Linked DNA regions of Danio rerio. The protein of the gene in region 2 purifies or fractionates together with the protein of the main gene of each other region. This does not show direct contact. Links are inferred from orthologs where the notes say so. Each region holds a gene or a part of one and is shown on either strand. Other genes may lie near its edges. The genes, in order: phb and vdac2.

Region 1 (12,295 bases), on a different chromosome or scaffold from region 2:
TTGCCATTTTCCTATAACTATTGCATCATTATAATTTCCATTTTTTCATATTGTTATAATCTTATGACTGTATGGATTTAAGCGACACTTGTTTTCATGAGTAAGTGAAGTTTTCTATTTCAAGGTCTGTATTGTCTCTGGACAATGTTGTAAAGCAGTAACTTTTCATTGCTGTTGCTTGTGGTATAATAACACTTGTTGGATTTATCCTGGTCAGAGTCTGAGCATTGAATCATACACAACTAAGATTATTCAATAAACTCTGCTCTTTCTTTATCATCATTACTTCGTCTCCTGCTTCTGCTCCTCTCTGGTTTTATCAGTCAACTCCTATATGGATAGGAGACTGTTAATTCAGTTAAATACTGGTTAACAGGTTTGGGTAATGGAATTTCTGTTGACTTGTTGTCCATATACATGGAGAAACTAACATTAGTTGACAAGATCTGGTGTCTGGGGCTGGATCGTATTTATCTGGTGTGGAGATGGTGGTCTAACATAGTCAATCAAAAATCAAAACTTCATTATAAGGGAAGTCAATGGGGCAAAAACAGCCACCAACATAACGGAAGGGTAGTCAATTTAAACAGACAGTACACAAGGGTTAAGTCAAACAATGCAAGATTTGTTTGTTTATTGGCACATCAGCAACTTATGGCTATTTCATGGCAAAATCAAGAGATAAAATACATACTACATAACAATAACTTCAATAACAACTTCATTCTTCAAAAAGTGTTGATATTAAATAAATGTTAAAAATAATTAAAAATCACAATTTATATAAAAAATAATTAGATATGATTTTCAGCTCAATTTTTGAAAACTAAAATAAAACAAAAAAAATCTTTTTTTTTTTGTTTTTAAAGCAGAAAGCGGAAACCACTTTATTTTATACAACAGTGATAACTTCATATAGTCAATTAAAACCATACAAAATCAGGTTAGAAATGTCTTATTTCATAGTGGATATTAAAAATTTTTTAATTTTGAACGCTACTGCTGAACGACATTTTTACAATTTGTATTACTGCAGTTAAACATTTTTATTACAACAAAAAAAAAAAGTAAAAAAAAAATCATGCTGTAATGCAACAGTTTGTCTACAAAGTGACATAACTTATTTGATAATTATAAAAGACTTTGACAGCTAAAGTCCCTGGGTTAAAAATGACAAACACACACAAATGAAAAGCGTAAACATTTAAACAAAACATGTTAAACAACATGTCTTAAATAAAAATTAATAATAATAAAAATAATAATAATAATTAAAAAAAAATAATAATCGCATTATGCCAGATCTAAATGGAAAAATGTATGAAAAAAACTGCATCTATTTGATCAAGAATAAAGAAAAAATAATAATATTGTAAAATATGTGATGTTTTCCTATGTATTACATTAAACTTTAAATCATATTAGTTAATATATTAATTTATATATTTTATGGATGAAGTTGAATTTATAAAAAATAACTCCACACTTCTGTCTCATGCAATCCTGCAGGGATCATTTAAATATGCTGATTGTCAACACACATCAACAGTTACGCTCCTTAATATTTTGTGGAAGCTGTGATATGATATTAAAGTCTTCTTTGATGAACAGAAAATCTATTTATATGGTTTTATAAGATGATTTTATTTTTATTCATTTTATTCTTTAAAATTATTAATCTTTTGACTCTCGATTAATTTCTATACATCTTTAATGAATAAAATCCCCCCTTTCTTTTAAAATCTGTTGCCGGTACCCACCACTACAGACTTCAGCACTTCAGTGGTGATGGAGGGCAGAACTCTCTCATCATAGTCCTCTCCGATACTGGTGAAAATGCGCGGCAGCTGTCCTGCAACCGGTCTGAACAGGATCCTCAGTGTGATGTTCACATTCTGCAAATCTGTCAAAGACAACGACAAACCATAAGCCAGTTTCCAATGTTTGATTAGTAAAGGTTAATGAAAACAGACTAAACATTTGAAAAATAACAATCATCATACTGACAAACAGATATTGGCTGTATCTGAAATATACCCTTATAGTGCGCTGTTTAAGGGAGCAGCCATTTCTAGTGGTGCCCAAAACCATAGAAAAATGTTCTGAAGTGCACCATATCAATCCCACAATGCACCACAATAACAAGTCTACAACCCATGTACACTCAACAGCTAGAAAATACCCAAAATGCACCATGAGAGCCAAATGAATTTCCATGTCTGACCACAACATGGCCTCCACAGTGGAATGGATGTAGGTTTCAAATTCTAATATTACTTAATTAAAATAACGATTATATACTTGACAGAAATTAAAATACTCTGTCTCATTACTAATAGGCTAAGTGTTAAAGAACTAAGTGTTATCACAGGGCCAGAACAAGAAGTTTAAAGACTAATCCATCTGAGGGATTTACCAACCAGCAAAGCACAAACAAGTGGACTATATTAGTGGACAGATGTAGGGAATAGTGCTTAAGGGGTGATTTAGGATAAAGCAATAGACAAACATAAGAGCAATCAGAAAAAGAGGATTGAAGTGAAGAGCTGAGCAGTTTGACGCACCTTTGCTACCGGTAATGACGGGTACGTTGCGTGGTCGAGACCTGCAGTCGAAGATGATTGGCTTCTGCACCCAGGGTATAAGGAAGTGTGTGCCTTCCCCAACAACAACATCCTGAACACCTCGAAACCTGTCAAAGATGACGGCCCTGTGTCCCGCATCCACTGCAATGTGAAACACAGGTCTGAACAACTGATACTACACACATTTGCAGTTCGGCCATAAATAACACATTTCAGTTACATAAAAGGTAAGTTACCCGTAATAAAAAAATTCAACCATCATTTATTTATCTACAATACAGCTGTTGCAAGACCGTTTGAGGAGGATATACTGAAGAAAGCAGCAGGAACTCGCAACAATAGCGGGACAATAAGTCAATTTTATCTGTTAACTCAAATGTGTTGTTAACAACCATTTAGTTCAGGGGTCGGCAACCCAAAATGTTGAAAGAGCCATATTGGACCAAAAAAAACAAAAAACAAATATGTTTGGAGCCGCAAAAAATGTAAAGCCTTATATAAGCCTTATAATGAAGGAAACACATGCTGTATCTATAGTAGCTATATTAGCTTACTATAAAAATGAGTAAGTTGGTTACAAATACATAATGAGCCTTCATGATTAAATAGCCACTGAAATCAGGTGGTTGGTGTTTATTTCGTTGTCATTTAAACACTTCAGCACAGCCTCTGGTCTTTCAGTGATATTAATTTGATCATTTCTTCTTGCGGCCCATCAGAGTTCATGCATAAAAGCGCATTGAATATCGGTCACATCACAGGCAATTGAGTATGCGGGCACTGAATTAATGTCCTTGGTTTGCTGATCGGTGATGTTACCTGCCATTTTAATAGCCCTTTCCTTCACTGTCTTAGCGGAGAGAGCGGTATATCTTTAATTTTTTTGTATTATCTGGGTTTTGTTTTTGAAATCTGCAAATAGGTGTTCTAATATGTTGATGAATGACTCCTTTATGTAGTCACCATCTGTGAACGGTTTTCCATGCTTTATTATCTCCCGGTTTGTTTACAACAGCCACCTGCCCGGCATCTTGCCCTGCTGATAGAAACCTGTGTCGCAGGCTATGACGCAAATCTTCGTTGACAGAAATGTTGAAATTAAATATTAATTCTACACACTTTTACAGCATTTGAAAACGTTAAAAATGTTTGTCCTCCAATAGAAATCATATTAAAACAAAAATATATACTAACCTTCCCCATCTTTTTGAACACTTTTGAAAAAACTTAAGGGAGCCACAAGGGCATCGCTAAAGAGCCGCATGTGGCTCTAGAGCCGCGGGTTGCTGACCCCTGATTTAGTTGAATGAAAGTCAGGTTTCAAACATGCAACGCTCCTCTATGACTCACCCCACTGACAAAGCTCCAGAATTTCTTTCCCCATACATGAGCTCATTTGTCCTATTTTGTCTGCTATGCCATTATAAATTGTGAAATAACCCATCTAAGAAAGCTTTAAGACCAAGCAAAATCTGACGCAAGTGAAGCCATCTTTCACTACTGACCTACTGTACTGTTGTTAAATAGAGAAAATATTTACAAGTAACTTTTAATCTAAATCCTGGACCTTATTTTTGAAAGAGCAGAAAAATAAAAAGACCAATAAAAAGGTGTTAAGCACCAAAAGTTCATTTTGAAGTCCCTGTGCATTTACTGTAGAAACACACAAACAACATAGCAGCGGGCAGAGAACTCATAGAGAAATGTTGTGCTTTATGAAATGAACAATAAAATAAAAATAAAAATAAAACGGCCACACAAGCACACCTGCTAAAAAAAAACAAAAAACAGCATGATTTAGAGTTCTCAGTCACACACACAGACACACAGACACACACAGACACACACACACACAGACACACACACAGACAGACACACAGACAGACAGACACACAGACAGACAGACACACACACACACACACACACAGACACACAGACACACAGACACACAGACACACAGACACACAGACACACAGACACACACACAGACACACACACAGACACACACAGACACACACACAGACACACACAGACACACACACACACACACACACACACACACACACACACACACGGGCTACATAAAGTGCAATTCGATAAATGTAATTTGATGAATGAAAAGTAAAATAAAAATTGACAAGCAAAATCTAGATGTTCCTCGACTTGGACAAAAAAATTTCCATGACTTTAAATATCTGAAATAAACATTTTAAAAATGAACTATTAAGATCCTTTTTTGCAGGATGAAAAATAAATATTGCTTTATAACCATTTTGAAACTGCCCCTTTTAGGCTTTGGTCCAAATTACGCCGCTTCTTTGTGACTGCCGCTTGAAATGTAAACTAGCTTTTGCTCTGTGCAAAGGCAGGTGGAGCTATAAATGTCAATGCGTCAGCATAGTGGCAGATTCATTAACAGTACTTAAGGAGATCTCTGTGAAAACTGAAAATGTGAAAGAAACGTCTCAAAAGAAGGCAGTCTATGGAGACTACAGTGTTCATTTGCGCATCTAAAACTTCACATTAATAGTGCCTTATAGTCAGTGTCATTATCTTCAGCAGGTGAACACTCTAAAGCCGCCTTTCCACTGCACATCACATTTGAACACGACTGTCGGAATACTCCCCCTTGTGGCAGTCGCACAGAACTTTCAGTTTTGTCGTGCACCATGGGAGAGAAGATGTTCTCACAGCGTCAGTAATAAAAGAGTGCAAAAGCAAGAGCCTTTACTCTCTGGGTGTCCACCATGGTTGAATGAATGAATCAACACTAGAAACTCAGACCGCTAAAAATGTTGGCGGGAATGTGGAAACAAACAAAAAAAAGTATTTTTATGACTCATTTATGAACAAAACATTTTTTAATATAGACTTTTTTCTGATTTAAGAAAAAAAAAAATCCTATTTCTCATCTCGCACGCACAGACCTGCCTGGACAACACTGAACTACATCACATGCGGTCGGTCGTATACGGTGTAGTCGCAGGAGTTCAAATATTTCCAACAGCAGCTCTGCAGCTCATATCGGATCCAAATTTTCCACATACGGAGAGAATCTGAACTCTACGCAGCTCCCGGACTACTCTCCATTGGAAATTCAACGTCTTCCAGTCTTTCGCTTGTCGTGTGCAGTGGAAGGGCGACTTAATGGCGAATGGCTGCTTCTCACTCAGGGCTGTTTATGCTAATGAGGCAGAGATCGTCACTAATGGACGGGCTTTCCCCCTCTGATGACAGGTACAATGTCAATCAAGGTGTTCATGCAGACTGTTTATCAAGTCTGATTATAATACTATTAATAAAACTATTGGATAATAATATAATATAATAAATAACTATAATAAAACTATTGTTTTACCATTACAAGCTGGTTATATTCACACACGGTTGCCACACAACTGCATTTAAACCACTTAGAAAACTGATATATGCACAAATGACCCCCTTTAAAACTCATGATATTCACAAAAATTCCAAGACCCATGGGAACTCTAAATATAGCAATATAAAGTTGCAATATTGTGCATTCCTATGACCTATCGACAGCCTCAATGTGGATAAAATTAACAACAAATTTAATTTGTTGCGTGTAAGCCCTTTAAATTGACCTTATTAGAATACTTATAGGAATTAAATGCTTTAACCATTGCTGCCATTGTTTTACAAAACACATCAGTAGTTATTACAACTCACCATTGTACAGAGCAGAGTTAACAACACCTCCTCCAATGGCCAAGGCCAATCCCAGCTTCCCAATGGACTCAAAGAGCTTCGCCATGACAACAAAGTGACAGTCCTGCGGGGAAAACACATTCATCTTCAGTATCTCATCATGGGTGATCTCTTGTGCATATAGAGCCCTTGGGTAATCAAACCAATGCTAGCCGGTTTAGCCTTGACTCTGACAGTGACACTGACATCAATGTAACGTGCTAATCTGATCTCACTCTAACCGGTCACTGGAAAAATCACAAGTAAAACTGCACAATATACACATATATACACCACTTAAAAACAATTGCTATTACAATAACACATGTGACACAGATTAACAGGCATTAATACAATCCGCAGTAGTGAACTTCACTCATTTATTAGCCTGCTACACGCTAATGATGCAACTGTCATGCAATAACGCCAACAAACACCCACACGTCGTGTTTATTTCACTTTCATACTGTCGCGTTATAATTACCGATGCTTTGTGAGTAAAACAAAAGCTTTAAGTTCGCATTTAAATGTAAGTCTCCTAAAACGTGAGCACTTACCCGCTGCGCTGAATGATCACAGTGACCTCCACCGGAGCCTGCGCAAGAAACACATGAGCAGGTGGAGCTTGCGCATGCGCAGAACAGTGTCAACATGAGTTTCTCCGATTGGATAGAGAGACACAAACCGAACGCCCTCTTGAGTAAGGAGGATTATTATTGGCGTACATCTCACGTTGCTTTAGAACGAGGTGGGTTCACTGCAATGCAATATGTGGGCGTTCCTTATTTCATTTTGTAATGACTTTAATTTATGTACTGTTATTGATACTTAAATGTCTTATGCTCAAGTTTATATCATGTTCTTTATTCATTTTTTCTTCTGTCTTTCTCTCTCTTATATTTTTTTATTGACAATGTAATTCATATTGCGTATTGTAAACAAATATTGCTACAAACTTGTCATGTGGGCGTTCTTTCGACTGCTTAAAGCTATAGTCCAACCACGTTCAAATACTGAAAATATGTTTTCAACATCGTTTAACACCTGTAACCATTGACTTCCATAGGAAAAACCAATAGTATGGAAGTCAATGGTTACCAGTTTCCAACATTTTTCAAAATAACTTATTTTGTGTTCAAAGAACGAAACACATTCATTTATTTTCTTTAGCTTAGTCCCTTTAAGGGTTGCCACAACAGAATGAACCGCCAACTTATCCAGCATATGTTTTACACAGTGGATGCCCTTCCAGCTGCAATCCATCACTGGGAAACACCCATACATACTCATTCACCTATACCACATGTTTTTGGGAGAAACTGGACCACCAAGGAGAAACCCACAACAACACGGGGAGAACATGCAAACTCCACACAGAAACGCCAACTGACCCAGCCAAGGCTCGAACCAGCAACCTTCTTGCTGTGAGGCAAATGTGCTACCCACTGCGCCACCGTGCAGTGAGCTTTTATTATTATTTTTATTTCATTGCTGTTGAAAGTGAGAGTGGTATAAAATTGCTACATTTTTCTACTGCAATTCCTGTACAGAGGCTTTACTACTAGTGTACCACATGCTGTATGAAAACAGAAAAGGACGTTTATTTATATAGCACTAATACCCCAAGATCATCAAGCATATCAAGACTCTTTGGATTCATCTTCAATGCCTCCTCCTCCATATTACCCCAGACATGCTCAATAATGTTCATCTCTGGTGGCTGGGCTGGCCATTCCAGGAGCACCTTGACCTTCTTTGCTTTCAGGATCTTTGATGTGGAGGCTGAAGTATGAGAAGGAGCGCTATCCTGTTGAACAATTTGCCTTCTCCTGTGGTTGGTAATGTAACGAGCAGCACAAATGTCTTGATACCTCAGGTTGTTGATGTTGCCATCCATCTCTTGCATGCCTCCACACTGAATGTAACCAAACCATGATTTTTTCTTAACCAAACTTGACTGATTTCTGTGAGAATCGTGGGTCTTTGTGGGTTCCAGTAGGTCTTCTGCAGTGTTTGTGATGATTGGGATGCAGCTCAACAGATGATTCATCTGAAAAACTACCTTCTGACACTTTTCCAAATGATCTACTAAAAGTCAACTAAATAAATTATTTGTTGCTTTTACAACTGGGATCAATGACAAGACTTTTGTGAGGTAGTGTAGGCCTGTGCTAATTAACCGCAGATTAACTATCTTTATATATAATAACTTTAATTAAGTAATATCTCTAAAAGTTAAAGTTATTAGTAACTAATAAAGTTAGCGCACTTAATAAACTTTTCTGATTTTGATTGTAATGCATCAAAGCCATCAAGTTACTTCTAATTGTGGTAAAAGCCACTGTAATACAGTGTATACAAGTTGAACATGGTATGTAGGTGAACCAAGTAGCCTATCTGAACATGGTGAACGACCCCTTTAAATTATAATGCTACTTCAAAACAAGGCAACATGTAGACATGCTATTATCCAGAATATGACTGTACACCCCCTACTACAGTAAGGCATGTGATGCAGTGATTACGGAAAGTCCTTCTTCAACCAGACATCTACACCCTCCTCCTCTTTTCCAGGACGACACACCCACCAGAAGCGAGTTATTATAACGCAGTGCGCAGGCTTTATGCAGTGCAGCTGTCTGTAAACTGACGGACACAAGCCCGCAGTTTTAAGGACGCATTCTTCTGAATCGGTAAGTCTCGATTATTTGTTTATTTGGCATTTGTCGGATCACGTTATAACTTTGAGCTATTTTAGGACAACTATAGTTAGCTAGCTGTGAATGTCTGCGAATGAGTCATGATGATGATGATGATGATGATGATGCGCGAATGAAACTTTATAGCAAAAGTAAACAAACGAATTACTAAATGACATTAGTTCAGGATTCATTCTCCGAATAAAATGTCGTACAGCATGATTGTGATCTTCATCACAATCAAATCAAATAAACAGCTCCTCAGTAATTGAAGCGCTTTACTGTTCTGCCCCGGTTACCTCAGGCTGTTATTTATTTAGGCTGTATCGTGGTGTTCCTGTATTTACAACAGATCGTGAAAAGGCAATTCTTGGATTTCCGCGTTCATCGCCGTTCACTATCGTGTTTTACGATTGGTTCACCTGGCCACTGACGTCACAGCGCACGGAAGATTTAATCAATTGATTGATGTTTGTTTTTATGGGTGTTGCTGAGAGATTGAACTTCTAACATGCAGCTTTACATACCATACACTAAATATACCAGGTCTTACAGAAATGAAGATACGTTGATGCTTTTCCCAAATGTAGCCATAGTTAATAGTTAATTAAACACATTGTTGTTATGTTTATTTGGTCATTTTTGTCAGATACTGTCTTAAGATGGTAAATGCATTTGGTAAATGCCATTAAAATGTCTCAGTGGTATACAGTAGACTTTTAAATAAATTAATTAACTAATTTATTCTGTATATATATATATATATATATATATATATATATATATATATATATATATATATATATATATATATATCAGGGTGTCCACAAGGTCTTAAAATGTCTTAACTCTCAAAAACTAACTTTAGGCCTTAAAAAGTCTTACATTGACCTTAATATTGTGTTGTAGGTCTTAAATTATGTTAATCATGTCTTAATTTTCCTACTGTATGTCCAAGTACAGCGAATCAATCACTGACAATCCATCTTAAAGCTATACTTGTTTTTATTTAAGATATACAAGTCACAACAGCTGTTAGACATGTTTACAGCAAATTCTCCTAATTGAATTCCTTAAGCAGGGAAAGAGTACTAAAGCAACATATCCCTTAACATAATCTTCCATTAATATAAAAACTATTTACTGAAGTAACTGGGCCAAATCCTTAGTGTTTAGCCCTGTATAAGTCAAAAATTACATTCATAATGGTCTAAAAGTTCCTTAAGTCTTTAATTTGACTTAAAGAAACCTGCAGAAACCCTGATATATATTCATTCATTCATTCATTCATTCATTTTCTTTTCGGCTTCGTACCTTTATTAATCAGGGGTCGCCACAGTGGAATGAACCGTCATATATATATATATATATATATATATATATATATATATATATATATATATTTCTTTCTAAATTTCAATAGAATAGATTTTCCTAAATTAGTTAAGTGGTAGATTGATCTTGTTATATCTAATGCAAAAAGATTAGGGCTCCGCCAATTGACATGAATAATAAGATACACTACGGGTCAAAAGTTTGGGGTCAGCAGGATTTTTAAATGTTTTAAAATAAGCTTATCCTGCCCACCAAGGCTGCATTTATTTAATCAAAATACAGTTCAAATTGTAAAATTGTGAATGTTATTGCACTGTAAAATTACTGTTCAAAAGTAGTTTATAATTTAGTTTAAAGTTATTTTTAAGATGAATTTTCAGCTTCATTTCTGCAGTCTTCAGAGACTGAAAGTAAAAATCACTCTAATAAAAAAAATAAAAAATAAAAATAATAATAATTATTATTATTATTATTAATGCTAATAGTAATAAAATCAATAATGACTGGAGTAATAACTATATTATTTAAAATTATATTGTTATTTAAAATTGTCATTAATTTTAAACAATTTTTTACATTTAATAAATGCCACCTTGACGAACAGAATAATTTTAATAATAAGAATTGATGAACAGAATAATAACCCCAAACTTTTGAGCGGTAGTCTATATATTTTTTTTTCATAAAAATAAAGCAGTGATGTCCATTATAATGCATAAAGAGTCTAAAATATTTATCATGAGATTACCCTTCTTTAATGAGCCATTAGATAACATTGCATCACTTTATTTGCGAACTTCATTCTTACCTGATATCTTTATTTTAGGGAGTGTTGATAGTGTTGTGCAACATTTTAAAAAAAGGGTGTAGGAATTGTGTGGGTGTTCGTAAAAAGAGCCTTGAATGACACAGACAACGTTGCAGCCTAAAACCAATCGCTTCAAATTGATCAAATCAGGAACTAATCAACATATAATCAGCTATAATCTCAGTATTGAAAGACCACAAGCTAAACTGTCATCTCGACACAGCAGCGTTATCATGAAATAGCCCTAAAGAGATAAGAAACTGAGGTGTGTTCACTCATTAAACTTGCTGATGTTAACATTATGGACTTTTTTGTGCATAATACAAACTGGCATACACTGCTAAGGCGCTGTAAGTCTGTAGAGCAAATACAAACTCTCATAAACATTTAGTGTAACACGTGATCCCCCATATAGAAATACAACACATGGAAATATATGCAAATTACATATATGACATAGAATTTTTCTATTTGTTTGCAAATGATGTTTAACAGAGGAAGGAATTTTTCACAGTATATCCTATAATATTTTTTCTTCTGAAGAAAGTCTTATTTGTTTTATTTAGGCTAGAATAAAAGCAGCGTCTAATTTAAAAAAAAACATTTTAGGGTCAAAATTATTAGCCCCCTTAAGCAATATATTTTTCAGTTGCCTACAGAACAAACTATTCTTATACAATGACTTGCCTAATTACCCTAACGTGCCTAATAACCTTGTTAAGCCTGAAAGAGTCATCATTTAATGCATTTTGCTCACTAATCTGCATGTTTCTGAATTAGGCTGTGTGACGAATGCCCGTAGGAAGAAACATGGACGCTGATCACCTGCTCGGAGCCTCAATCATCAGGATCCCACCTCACCACTACATCCATGTCCTGGATCAGAACACCAATATTGCACGGGTGGAGATCGGCCCTCTCACCTACATACGTCAGGACAATGAGAGGTAATCTGAAAGACTGCAGGTTTACTACTGCATTGTGTAATAGCCCTTGAAATACAGGTTCTTACTGGTCTTAGCATTTACGGTTGATCTGTGTAGATTTTCACTCCATTTGGATGGCACTATTATATTGTCTTTGGGCCATTTGTTCATTAGTATATCCTGTTTTCTTTGTTGCCGGGATACATTGTGTAGTCAAGAATCTAGAATCCA
Region 2 (10,976 bases):
CGTACAGTTTTTTTTTTTTTTTTTTTTTACACTGTTTTTTTGGTTTTTGCACAGGTGTTTAGTGTTATGGTGTTCTTCCGACCCACTAATGATCTTTGCACACTCTGTTTTAATTAGATAAAATGGCCGTTCCCCCAGCATATGCTGATCTTGGCAAATCTGCCAAAGACATCTTTAACAAAGGATATGGTAAAGTATTTAATAATTCATGATGTCTCTTGGGAAAAAAATGTTTTTTAGTTTTCTGTATTTGTTCAAAGCATTTCTTTCATTTTTTTTTTTAAGGATTCGGTATGGTGAAGCTCGATGTCAAGACAAAATCAGCCAGTGGAGTGGTGAGACTCAATTTTGTTAATAAGTTAATACAAATATTGTGAATCTACTTATACTAACAAATCATTAATTATTGTTATTAAATTAGTTATATTTAGTCATCACATTGCAAAACCCTAGACCTCTGTTTAATTATTTAATAATTAGTTATCAAGTCATTAAGCGTGACACCTTACACCAACTTAAAATATGTTCCTTTCCTGTCTGTATAGGAATTCAAGACCTCTGGTTCCTCCAACACTGACACCAGCAAAGTGGTTGGGAGCCTGGAAACCAAATACAAGAGGTCTGAATATGGCCTGACCTTCACAGAGAAGTGGAATACCGACAACACCCTGGGCACAGAGATCAACATTGAAGACCAGGTCTGAATGCTTTTTCCAGCACTGAATAGTAACCAATCGAAGTCTGTTATTTTTAGCATGAATAGCACTTTATAATCCCCTTTCTCTCTTTTTTTTAGATCGCAAAGGGACTGAAACTGACCTTTGACACAACCTTCTCACCAAACACAGGGTATATTAATTTCTCACATTTATTTTAAGCATTAATATGTTTTGTAGTTGGTTCAGAGGAGGTGAGAAACGCTATATTGACACGTGGTGGAATGTAACTCAATATTGTATTGAGCAATTTGAGTGTCACCATGGCTGCATCTGAAATAGCATTCTTCCCTGATATATAGTAGGTGAAAATGAGGTAAAAGTAAAATGACTACTTGCTACTAAGATTCTGAAGTGATTGGCAACAACACCACTGATCCTAATTACTTTAAAACATAGTCCAATCACTTGTTCCAAATAGGTACCCGAGTGTGATTGCAGACAAAGCTAGATGACTGTTAGTTGTCTTTTGTTGTGCAGGGATGAACACCTCAAGGTTACTTTCACACAAGTGATAGTGGTGGTGTAAATCGGTCAGGAAAGTGGCACCTGTCTGCTATCGTATGGCTTTGTGCTCTCAGATGACAGTCACGTTGACATGGCCTTTACTGATGTATAGGCCTGTGTGGCTCATGACAGCGGCTGTAGATCATGTGGCAAAAAGTTTTCACAGTTTTATTTGCTTAATATTAAGTCAGTTAGAGATGTTTATGACAGAAATATTTCTTTTTACTGGCTTTGTTTGTCATTTTAGTAGATTTAAGTTCTTAAGAGGTCTTGAAAAAACAATCGTAGTGACATCAGGCTTTTGACTGGTAGTGTATTTTACCAGCAGTGCTGTGTGCTCTTGTATTAGTGCAGACTCTGCAAAATGAGCCATGGTTTGCTGTTTTGTTTTTGCTAGTCTTTAAATTTAACTGTAACTTGAGCATTAAAGTGATGGTTCATCCAAAAAGGAACTTTTTGTTATCATTTAATAACCCTCACTAGGGCACACAGGCTAAAGGTGGCCCATGGTAATCTTTAATTTAGCCCACCGTCTCAACTAAAAGGAGAGAATGACATGTATTTATTTATATAGATTTAACCAATATTGTCATTTCTGATTAAAAGTAACTTAACGTTTTGTTTGTTTTATGGTTAAGCTACAAAAAAAGCTTATGAAAATTAAATGTTTCAGTTAAATGTTGTAAATGAATCGGATATTTTTGTTTATGTAAATGCTATCACTTGACCGTAACTTGACCAGTGTGTACAGCACTGTATTCTAGTGTTTTTATTGTATCAACATTATTATAGGATGAATAAATATATATAATGCATTAGGTAATACGGTTAAAGTAATTTTTATTTTTAAACAGTATGAAATAAATTATGAAATTGACAACTTTGATTAATTACAGTTTGCTTTTTACCTTTGGCCCACAGCTCTCAATCAGATTTAATTTTTGGCCCTTCATAAGAATGTTTGGGCATCTCTGCTCAAGAGCAATAAGTAGCCATTAACATTCATAGTGATGGATAGATACTGTAGATAGCTAGATAATGTAGATACATAGATTTGATTGATTGATTGATCGATTGATTCAACGTTTGAAGTGGATCAAAAACGTTTTTAAAAATTGTCCTAAAACAATAATGAGTACTGTTGAATAGTTTTAGAACAACTTCGATAAAAGGATTTGGTCCTCCTCAATTGTTTGACTACTGTGTGCTATAGAAGTTTTCAAGTTATCTTTAGGTTTCAACAGAAAAAGTACAAGCTTGGAACAAGCAGAAGGTGAATGAATGATGTCAATTTTTTGTGAACTATCCCTTTAAGTGGTTTATAAAGTGACATTGTCCTTCACTGTGGTATTTGCAGCTTGTCCTTTGGCATGTGTCTGTGTCTTGAATTCTGACTAGTACATATTTAGCAGCAGGTTATTTTACTTTGTATATGGCTTTGTTTATGGTTTATTGCACGATGGTCCCGAAGTCATATTCATAAATCGAATATGGAGAAACAGATCAAGCTAAATCAGCAAATCAAGCTAAATATGTATATAAATAAACACTAGCTTGTCTATGACAGAAGCACTTTTTTATTCTATTCTAAAATGGATGGTGACTAAACATATAAAAACAAAATATTAACATTAAGAACTGCTGTAATAGTAAATTAAATAGATAGTCTGATATCAAATCTTTTGCACTTTTGATTTTTTTTAGTGGTCTAAAAAGTTCCAAAGAGAAGTTATTTATTAAACTAATTTTGTCACTTGTTTGATGAGAAGGAATATTACAGTCTAAACAGTTTATATTTCTGCAAATCGGTTTGGTTTTATTGCTAGTCAAAAGCTGAATAATCTTTGTTTAAAATACCTCTTGTAAACTAAATAGGATGCCGAATTGTTTACTTTTGTCTCATGAACAGGAAAAAGAGTGGCAAAGTCAAGACCGCATACAAGCGTGAGTTTGTCAACCTGGGATGTGATGTTGACTTCGACTTTGCCGGCCCAACTATCCACGGCGCTGCAGTGGTCGGTTACGAAGGATGGCTCGCCGGTTACCAGATGTCCTTCGACACCGCCAAGTCCAAGATGACCCAGAACAACTTTGCTGTAGGCTACAAAACGGGAGACTTCCAGCTGCACACTAATGTGTGAGTCCTCCAACATTACTACATCATTCTAAGTGCATGTGACTGGGATTTGTGTTTATTTTAGTGCAAGGAAGTGTTGATATAATGACATTATGTACACAGAGTTGACATGGAAGTTTAACAGCATGTCACCAGGGTGATGTGTTGTTGTGTTTTAATTAATTTGCCGTATATGGACAGCTTAAAAATATGAAGAGTTCAGATGCAAAACCCTCTAAATCTATTTAACCTCTTTTCTTGTAAATGAGCATCCACAATTGGGACAAGATAGTGTAATTAGTTGAAAATCACTTAAGATAATATTAGAAATTATTTTACCAAACATAAAACATATTACACAAACCACCTAAAAAAAATAAATACATAAATAAATATATATATAAATATATATCTGTCAAGTGGCAGTTCATTGTGTTGTGATTAAACCAGGAAAAAAAAGGAAAATGAATGAATGAAATCTGTCAAGTAGATGCATCAATCAATAACATTAAAAAACTGACATTAAATCTTAACGATCTGTTGTCATTTCTGATATTTGGGATTTAGATTTAATGCAAGTAGAATAATGTAAAATAAGCTTGTTAGATTCAAATAATGTTTTGTAAAAACATTGAAACATCAATATCTGCATAGTCCAATAATATAAAAAGCTTATTAGGCGTATTCACCTTATTCTCAGCTGTCGAGCGGGCGCTGCCATTTGAATCTTTTTGTCTCGCGACTTCCGGTCACATTCACTTCCATTCATTTTTTGACGTTAACAACTGCTCGTTACGCTGCTTGATGTTGCAATTAAATATTTTCTTATTATAATATGCTACTTGGTCTGTGTAGTCATGCAAACATTTGTTTGTTGAGCAAGTAGTTTGGCCATTTTCTGCCGTTTATTATTCCTAGTCATTTCTCCTATAGGCGACTGAATCGGAAGTTCTAAGACAATCGCGAAAACAGGCGCACTTCCGCATTTTAGAATAAGGTCAATAGTAGAGCTGCATGATTTTGGCCAAAATGAGAATCGCGATTTCTTCTTCTTTTTTTTTTTTTTTTTTTTTTTTTTTTTTTTTTTTTTGTTGCTTAAAATAAAGATCACAAGTTTCTCACGATTCTGTTGATGTAAAAAAAGGTTAATATGAGTCGGCTATTATTATTATTTCTCAAACATACGGTAAAAAACTATAATACGTCTACTGTTGGTTACAATGCTAAATTTTGTATAGACTTGGAATAGTGATCTTGAACAGACATTCAATTTGTCCTGGTCATTGCACAGTAAAGTGATGACATCAGAATAAAACTATTCATAATTCTGATGTTCAATTATCATGTTTAAGACTTATGCTTGTAATCTGTCATTGACAACATTATTAGACCAATTTTTTTCTACTGGTAAAATCAGACATTTTGTCATTATCAAATTCCCTCTTGCATGATATTCAACATTATAGGCTGGTGTTATACTGACACTGTTTAACATTCTGTTTAACGGCTCTTCCTAAAAGCCGGCGTTTCAGCGCACTGCTACATTGAAAACATATGATTCGATTTGCATCTTCTGTTTGGTTCTCGGGATATAGCGGCTTTTGCTGTCAAAGGCAAGTGCTGTTTAACATCTTGTGCAAAAAAACTGTTATCGACTTTTGCATCTGAACTCTTCATATCAAAACCTTTCATCAAAGTTGTGAACCATTCTTTTTCTTAACTTTTGTTGATCCATTGTTTTTATGTATAAAATATGTATATAAACTATAAAAAAAAAAAATAAAATTTATGTCAAAAGTTTGTACATATATGGTTACAAGCAGGGTCTTATAAAGTATTTAAAGTTGATAAATCAATGTAGAGATATTTAAGGCCCTAAAAAGTATTAGTCTTAAATGCTATTTTGAAAGGTATTAAATTTCATACCATTTTTGATATAATTATTGTGCAATGTATGCCTGTACACTAAAGGTTGCCTGAATTAAATCAGCGAATATCAGGATGCTGTGTAGTTTGTAAAATCAATGAAATCCTACTATATTTGACATCATGCTGCTTTGTTTACTGAAATAATAAAGGCAACACCATTATTTCTGCAGTTCTATAGGCGCCAACCTGCTGAATGAGCAAGATTTAATAGATTTGTATTCAGTATATGAATAGTGTTTAAGCTTTAGATTAGTTTCTTACATTAATATTTATTAAATATACTGCAAGTTAAAATCTCACCAGTGTGTCCAGTTGATAGTTTTTAAGGTATTAAAATGTATGGAAAGAGTCTTAAAAAAGGGCTAAAATGTATTGAATTTTACTCTGATTCCTGTATAAACTCATGTGAGGTAATGTGCTTCTAGAAAATGATTCCTGGTTTAATTTTTAATTTTTGTTTTTTTACAATATATTTTCAGTGATTAATTGATTTTCTGTATCTCTCTCGCTCTCTGCAGTAATGATGGCTCAGAGTTTGGTGGTTCCATCTATCAAAAAGTGAGTGATAAGCTGGAGACAGCGGTGAATCTGGCCTGGACAGCAGGAAGCAACAGCACACGCTTTGGAATTGCTGCCAAGTATCAGCTGGACAAAGACGCCTCCATCAGTGTGAGTAAACGGCACGTTTTTAAAAAATTTTTTTTACTAAAAGTCAATTTGGTTTCAGCAGAAGACAGGAGTTTATTCAAGTGACCTAATCTAATCAGGGTCTTTCTCAAATGATTTGTAATCAACATTATAAATTGGTTAATATTAACCCACACTGCCATTTATATGCAATTGAAAAATGCTTGCATTGCAAATAAGCACATGCAGGAATTAAACTATTAAATAAACAGCCAAGGCCAAAAAGACCAAAGGCTTTTCTTTTTTTCTTTTTTTTTCTTTTTTTTGTTTTGCATTTTAAAATTGTCTTTCAATACAGCTAATTTGTGTTAGTTAATTTGTCAATACAACTAATAACAGTGTTTTGTACTAGGACCTTAAATGAAATAAGTGTTTGTATTATGGTAAGTAAATGCTGCTATGGTGTAAACAAAGGCCTCTGAGCTGCCTGTGATTTATCTTGTTGAACAAAGGGGATATATTTTGAAACAGTTGAATAAAGAAATCAATTCTTTGTACAGTATTTTCCAACAACTCAATATAATTTCTTATTCTATTTTGTTGAGGATCAGATGATGACTAAATCAAAATAGTTGAATCACAAGAAGCTAATGAAAGCTTCTGTTGAAAATGTGTTTGTGGTTTTCTTTTGCCTCTAGAAATAAGTCAATGTTTTCTCTTTTTTCAACAGGCTAAAGTGAATAACACCAGCCTTGTTGGTGTTGGTTACACTCAATCTCTGAGACCAGGTACAGTGATGTTTTTTTTTTTCTGTCATTATTTAAATATGCAAATTTATTCATGAAAGGCATTGTTTTGATCCCTTGTTCAGTTAAACCATATAACACCCACACTATATAACTTCAGTTATTAAAGCTTAAATACAATTCAGTGTTAATGGTTTTAGATTTGATTGATCAAATTCTGCAGAGTTGGTCTGTAGTTGCACATACTGGGATAAAATCCAGCAGCCTCGTTTGGGTTCTGAAACCTATAGATTGTTTTTATAGTAGAGTGACTTGCGTGTAAAAAATGCATTAGCCCTCAAATTGTTTTAACTGGTTAAAGAGTACTCCTGAAGTGGTCGACCTGGTGTAAATATTAATAACTTGCATAAAAGATGCATGAATTGTGACCACAAGTATTGTGCAAACTTGACTTTAACATCCACAGTATGTTAAGAACAAGAACTATGAAGATTTCTAAGCATTTCTTAGACAAAATATAAAACATTTAGTTCAGATATCAGTTGTGAACTTAAAGCCTGGACCGTTCAAATGCAAAATGACGACTTGCAACACTACACCAATGACTCGTTAGTTTGTTTGTTTATTTATTTGCATTGTAAAATGGCATTCAAAAATGTGTCTGAATAACTCTTTAGCAGTGAAACACATGTCCATACTCAATGTTTTTTTACCCTTTGTCATGTTTGCTATAAATTATTATTTGTTTATTCAAACCGTGATTTAAAATAAAATAAAGCAGAACAAATTAAACAATACAATTTGAAAAATAACCTCATTTGAAACTTAACATTTTGTCTAGTCTCCACTGAGCAGCAGGTACATTTCCAGCGATACAATAACCATTTATATCCATTTCCATTGTGATGTATCTAATGAATTTAATAATGAATTAAAAATAAATAAAATGTGTGTGTGTGTGTGTGTGTGTGTGTGTTTATTTATAAAAAAATTTAATTCATTATTTAATTATTTAAAAAAAAGTGTGTGTGTATATATGTATGTATGTGTGTGTGTGTATATGTATATATATATATATATATATATATATATATATATATATATATATATATATATAATTTATTTTGTATTTTATGCTTTTGTAATGGTACATTTACATCAAGTCAGTCCATGGATGCAATCAGACATCCTGCAGCGCTATTTATGCTAATGAGATGGCATAAATGGAGTAAATGACACTGAGAATTCAGGGTTGGCTTAATGCGTGATTTGAATGGGTCAAGTTGAAAAAACGGAATTTTGGTGGACATTCTCGCCAAACTGAAAATGCTTCATCTCTAATTACAGACAAATATTTATAATTATAAGCTGCGTCTGGTGTGAACGCTCTATAAGGGTATCAAGCACAACAATATGTTGCCAAAAGGATGGAGCTAGACTCCCTGCAGAAAGCTGGTTGGTTTACAGTATACATCACATTTCAAGTCAGGGGAACGACAACATATAGCACCACTATTAAATATACAGGCAAAACATTACACCATAATCAATGACCTATAATACAATTGTTGTTCACGGGTCCATTCCTGTCACTTCTGTACTGCTCAGTGGAAACATGCCATTCGTTATTTAGTTTTGCATTTATGTTGTAAAACTCTTGTGATTTTTAAAAACTTTGGTGTTTTTCAGGTATCAAGTTGACCCTGTCTGCCCTGGTTGATGGGAAGAGCATCAATTCCGGTGGCCACAAGCTGGGCTTGGGCCTGGAGCTGGAGGCTTAAACCTGCTTCTGCTGAACATCAGGGACAAGGGAATATCAGAGAAATCTGGCCTTAAATCTAACTCCAGCAGCAACCAGCAGGGGGAATCGGGATGGGATGTGTGCAAAGGCTCATCAAAAGCGATCATGTCATGTGGTTTCTTTTTCGTCCCCTTCAGGTCCTTATGTTTGTTTTTCGTTTGTAGTTGTTCTCTCATAGACATTCAGCTACAAATTAATTTGGCCATCCCTCTCCAGCACTTCCACAGTAATGAAATGCGCTCTGGGATAGAGGGCATCTGTGGCGTCCTGATGTGTTGCTCCCTCTTCAGTTAGACGGTGGTGGGTTTGTGACAAAACTGTCTCTGATTTCATCCTTTGTATTGTATCTGATATTCCTTCGTCGTCTGATTGCGATTCAAGCAAACCACTTTACTCGATATTAAAGGTTCTACCTGATATTATTTAAATACTGTTATACCGTTTTCTTCTTTCCATGCACGCAAGGACGAGCTTTAAGCAGTTTACTTTCCCTCGGGCAGCCATCCAGAGTTTATCTTGCAGGTGAAGTCTGCCCTTGAGCTGAGCAGTTTTTGGGTAGCCTAATGGGGTGGTGAGTGCTGTTGCCCGTGAGCTGGCATGGCTGGCCTTCTGTTTTTCATTTGCAGCACAGATGACTCTCCGTGGCTCCCTGTGATGGCGGGACGGGTCTTGTGGGTGTGGTTTGAGTTCAGTACCTTTTGCTCCCGGTGTTGCCCTGATTCCCATGCTTTACAACACCTCAGAGGTCCTTATGTGTATGTTTGAACTTTTCAATAAACTCTTTGAACACATCTTACCATACGGTTGTTGTTGCTTACAAAGCGAATAGCCTCTCGTAACATAAACCCTAGCTCAAACTCTTAAGGAGATCTACTGTAATAGGGTAGTGGACATGTCACAGAGAAAAATAGTGCTTAAATTACCAAAAATACTGCGTAATTGAGATTTTAAAGATAAAATGGATTTTTTGCAAATATTCTGTTCTTTATATCTAACTTTGAACAGAAGTTTGTCATGCAAAAGTAAAAGACTTGTACTCTTTTTGTTTGGATAATTATTTTAATATTAAATGGCCTTTCAGTCTGATTTATTTGACCTTTTTTGACATATCAATGTTTAAATGAGTGTAAAACTTAGTTTATTTTGTCAGAGGCCATTGTTAGCGTTTTTAATCAAACCTGACCATTTGCTTCTGCTTCTACAGTTCTTAACTGATGATGGCTTAGGTGAAATATGCTTAGCCACGCCCTCCAACCGTTAATGTAAATGATTGCAAATAAAACCCCGCCCCTTAATATTCTTTTTTACCTGGAAATACGTCATAGTACTAAAATATAATTGTGCAGTGACTTCTGGTTCTCACAGACAGGTTGTGTTTTATTGGTTACAAATAAAATATTTTAATGTGGTTTCTCTTTTACTGTATGCACATATGTGCAGAAAATCAAGTGTTCCTGATCATTTCCTGTCATTTATTTATTTTCTATCAAGGAATAAGTACTGTATTAATTCATTTGCACACATTGGTCATTTTATTGGGTTCATTTGTTAATGCGAATATCTAGCATTAATCAGCTAATCAAATGATGGCAACTCGAATGCATTTAAACAATGAAGATGTTAGCAAGTCCAACCCAATATTATAATGCACAACAAAAGAAATATAAGTGATTTTAGAAATTGTACTTTGATTTTAACTGCCTTAAGACCTCAGGGTTTAGGCCACAGAGAATTGTCCAAAAAACAACCACCATCCAGTGAGGGCCAGTTCTGTAGGTGTAAATGCCTGTGTTGGATTGGTTTGAGTGGATGGAGGCAACAATAACTTAAAAGACCTGACGTAATTAAAAAAGACTGCAAAAGAGCATCTCTGAACACATACCTTGAACCAGATGGGCTTCAGTAAAAGAAGAGTATAGCTTATCAATTATTGTCCTGTCAGCTAATAACAGCAAACTAAGGTTGCAATTCACATTTGCTCACCAAAGCTAGAGAAGAAAAGCCGTCTGGAAAAGTTCAAATTTATCTGCATGAGTCTTGCTTTCTGCTACAGCAAACAGGTTGATGTTTATTTTAGCTATTATTTTAAAAGCATGACTTCATTTCATGTTGTACTCAAGGTAGAGAAAAATGTGCAGTCGAAGTGTATTTTTAGTTACCTAGGCCTATCCCTGCTGAAAAAAAAAAACAGCTTAAACCAAGCTAAGCTGGTTTTAGCTTGAAGAGCATGGTTTTAGAGGGGTTTTAGCCATTATCAGATGGATCTTAGCTGGTCATGCTGGGAAATGACAAGCTAAAACAAGCTTAGCCAGGATTGGAGCCCAGCTTAAACCAGGTGAGTCAAGCTGGTTTTAGCTGGTCATTTCCCAGCCTGACTGACCAGCTAAGACCAGGCTGGAAATTGTAACCTAGCCTGAAAAAGGCCCAAACTCCTTTTAAACCAGCCAAGGGGTTGCTTTAAACAACTTTTTTTCAGCGGGGTATACAGTATAAAGCATATTATTTGACAGAAAACAGATTAAAAAAAAAAAAAA

What was found.
Region 1: the proteins of vdac2 (region 2) and phb purify together in Homo sapiens (affinity purification with mass spectrometry; 4 studies listed by BioGRID, with this or other methods). This does not show direct contact. The link is inferred for Danio rerio from reciprocal best matches to the Homo sapiens genes VDAC2 and PHB1.

What each region holds. Positions count from the first base shown.
Region 1 is NC_133178.1:14,396,914-14,409,208, reverse strand, and holds the start of phb (prohibitin 1), read right to left. Parts: upstream 6,880-12,295; 5' UTR 6,854-6,879; intron 6,382-6,853; 5' UTR 6,364-6,381; coding exon 6,279-6,363; intron 2,727-6,278; coding exon 2,565-2,726; intron 1,904-2,564; coding exon 1,761-1,903; intron 1-1,760. Other genes in the region: mvp (major vault protein), read left to right, coding at 11,931-12,085.
Region 2 is NC_133188.1:19,698,003-19,708,978, reverse strand, and holds the end of vdac2 (voltage-dependent anion-selective channel protein 2), read left to right. Parts: intron 1-117; 5' UTR 118-122; coding exon 123-189; intron 190-285; coding exon 286-335; intron 336-545; coding exon 546-698; intron 699-796; coding exon 797-849; intron 850-2,250; exon of another isoform or gene 2,251-3,124; coding exon of another isoform or gene 3,125-3,132; coding exon 3,133-3,360; intron 3,361-5,786; coding exon 5,787-5,937; intron 5,938-6,625; coding exon 6,626-6,683; intron 6,684-8,330; coding exon 8,331-8,422; 3' UTR 8,423-9,238; downstream 9,239-10,976. UniProt on the Homo sapiens protein: Non-selective voltage-gated ion channel that mediates the transport of anions and cations through the mitochondrion outer membrane and plasma membrane.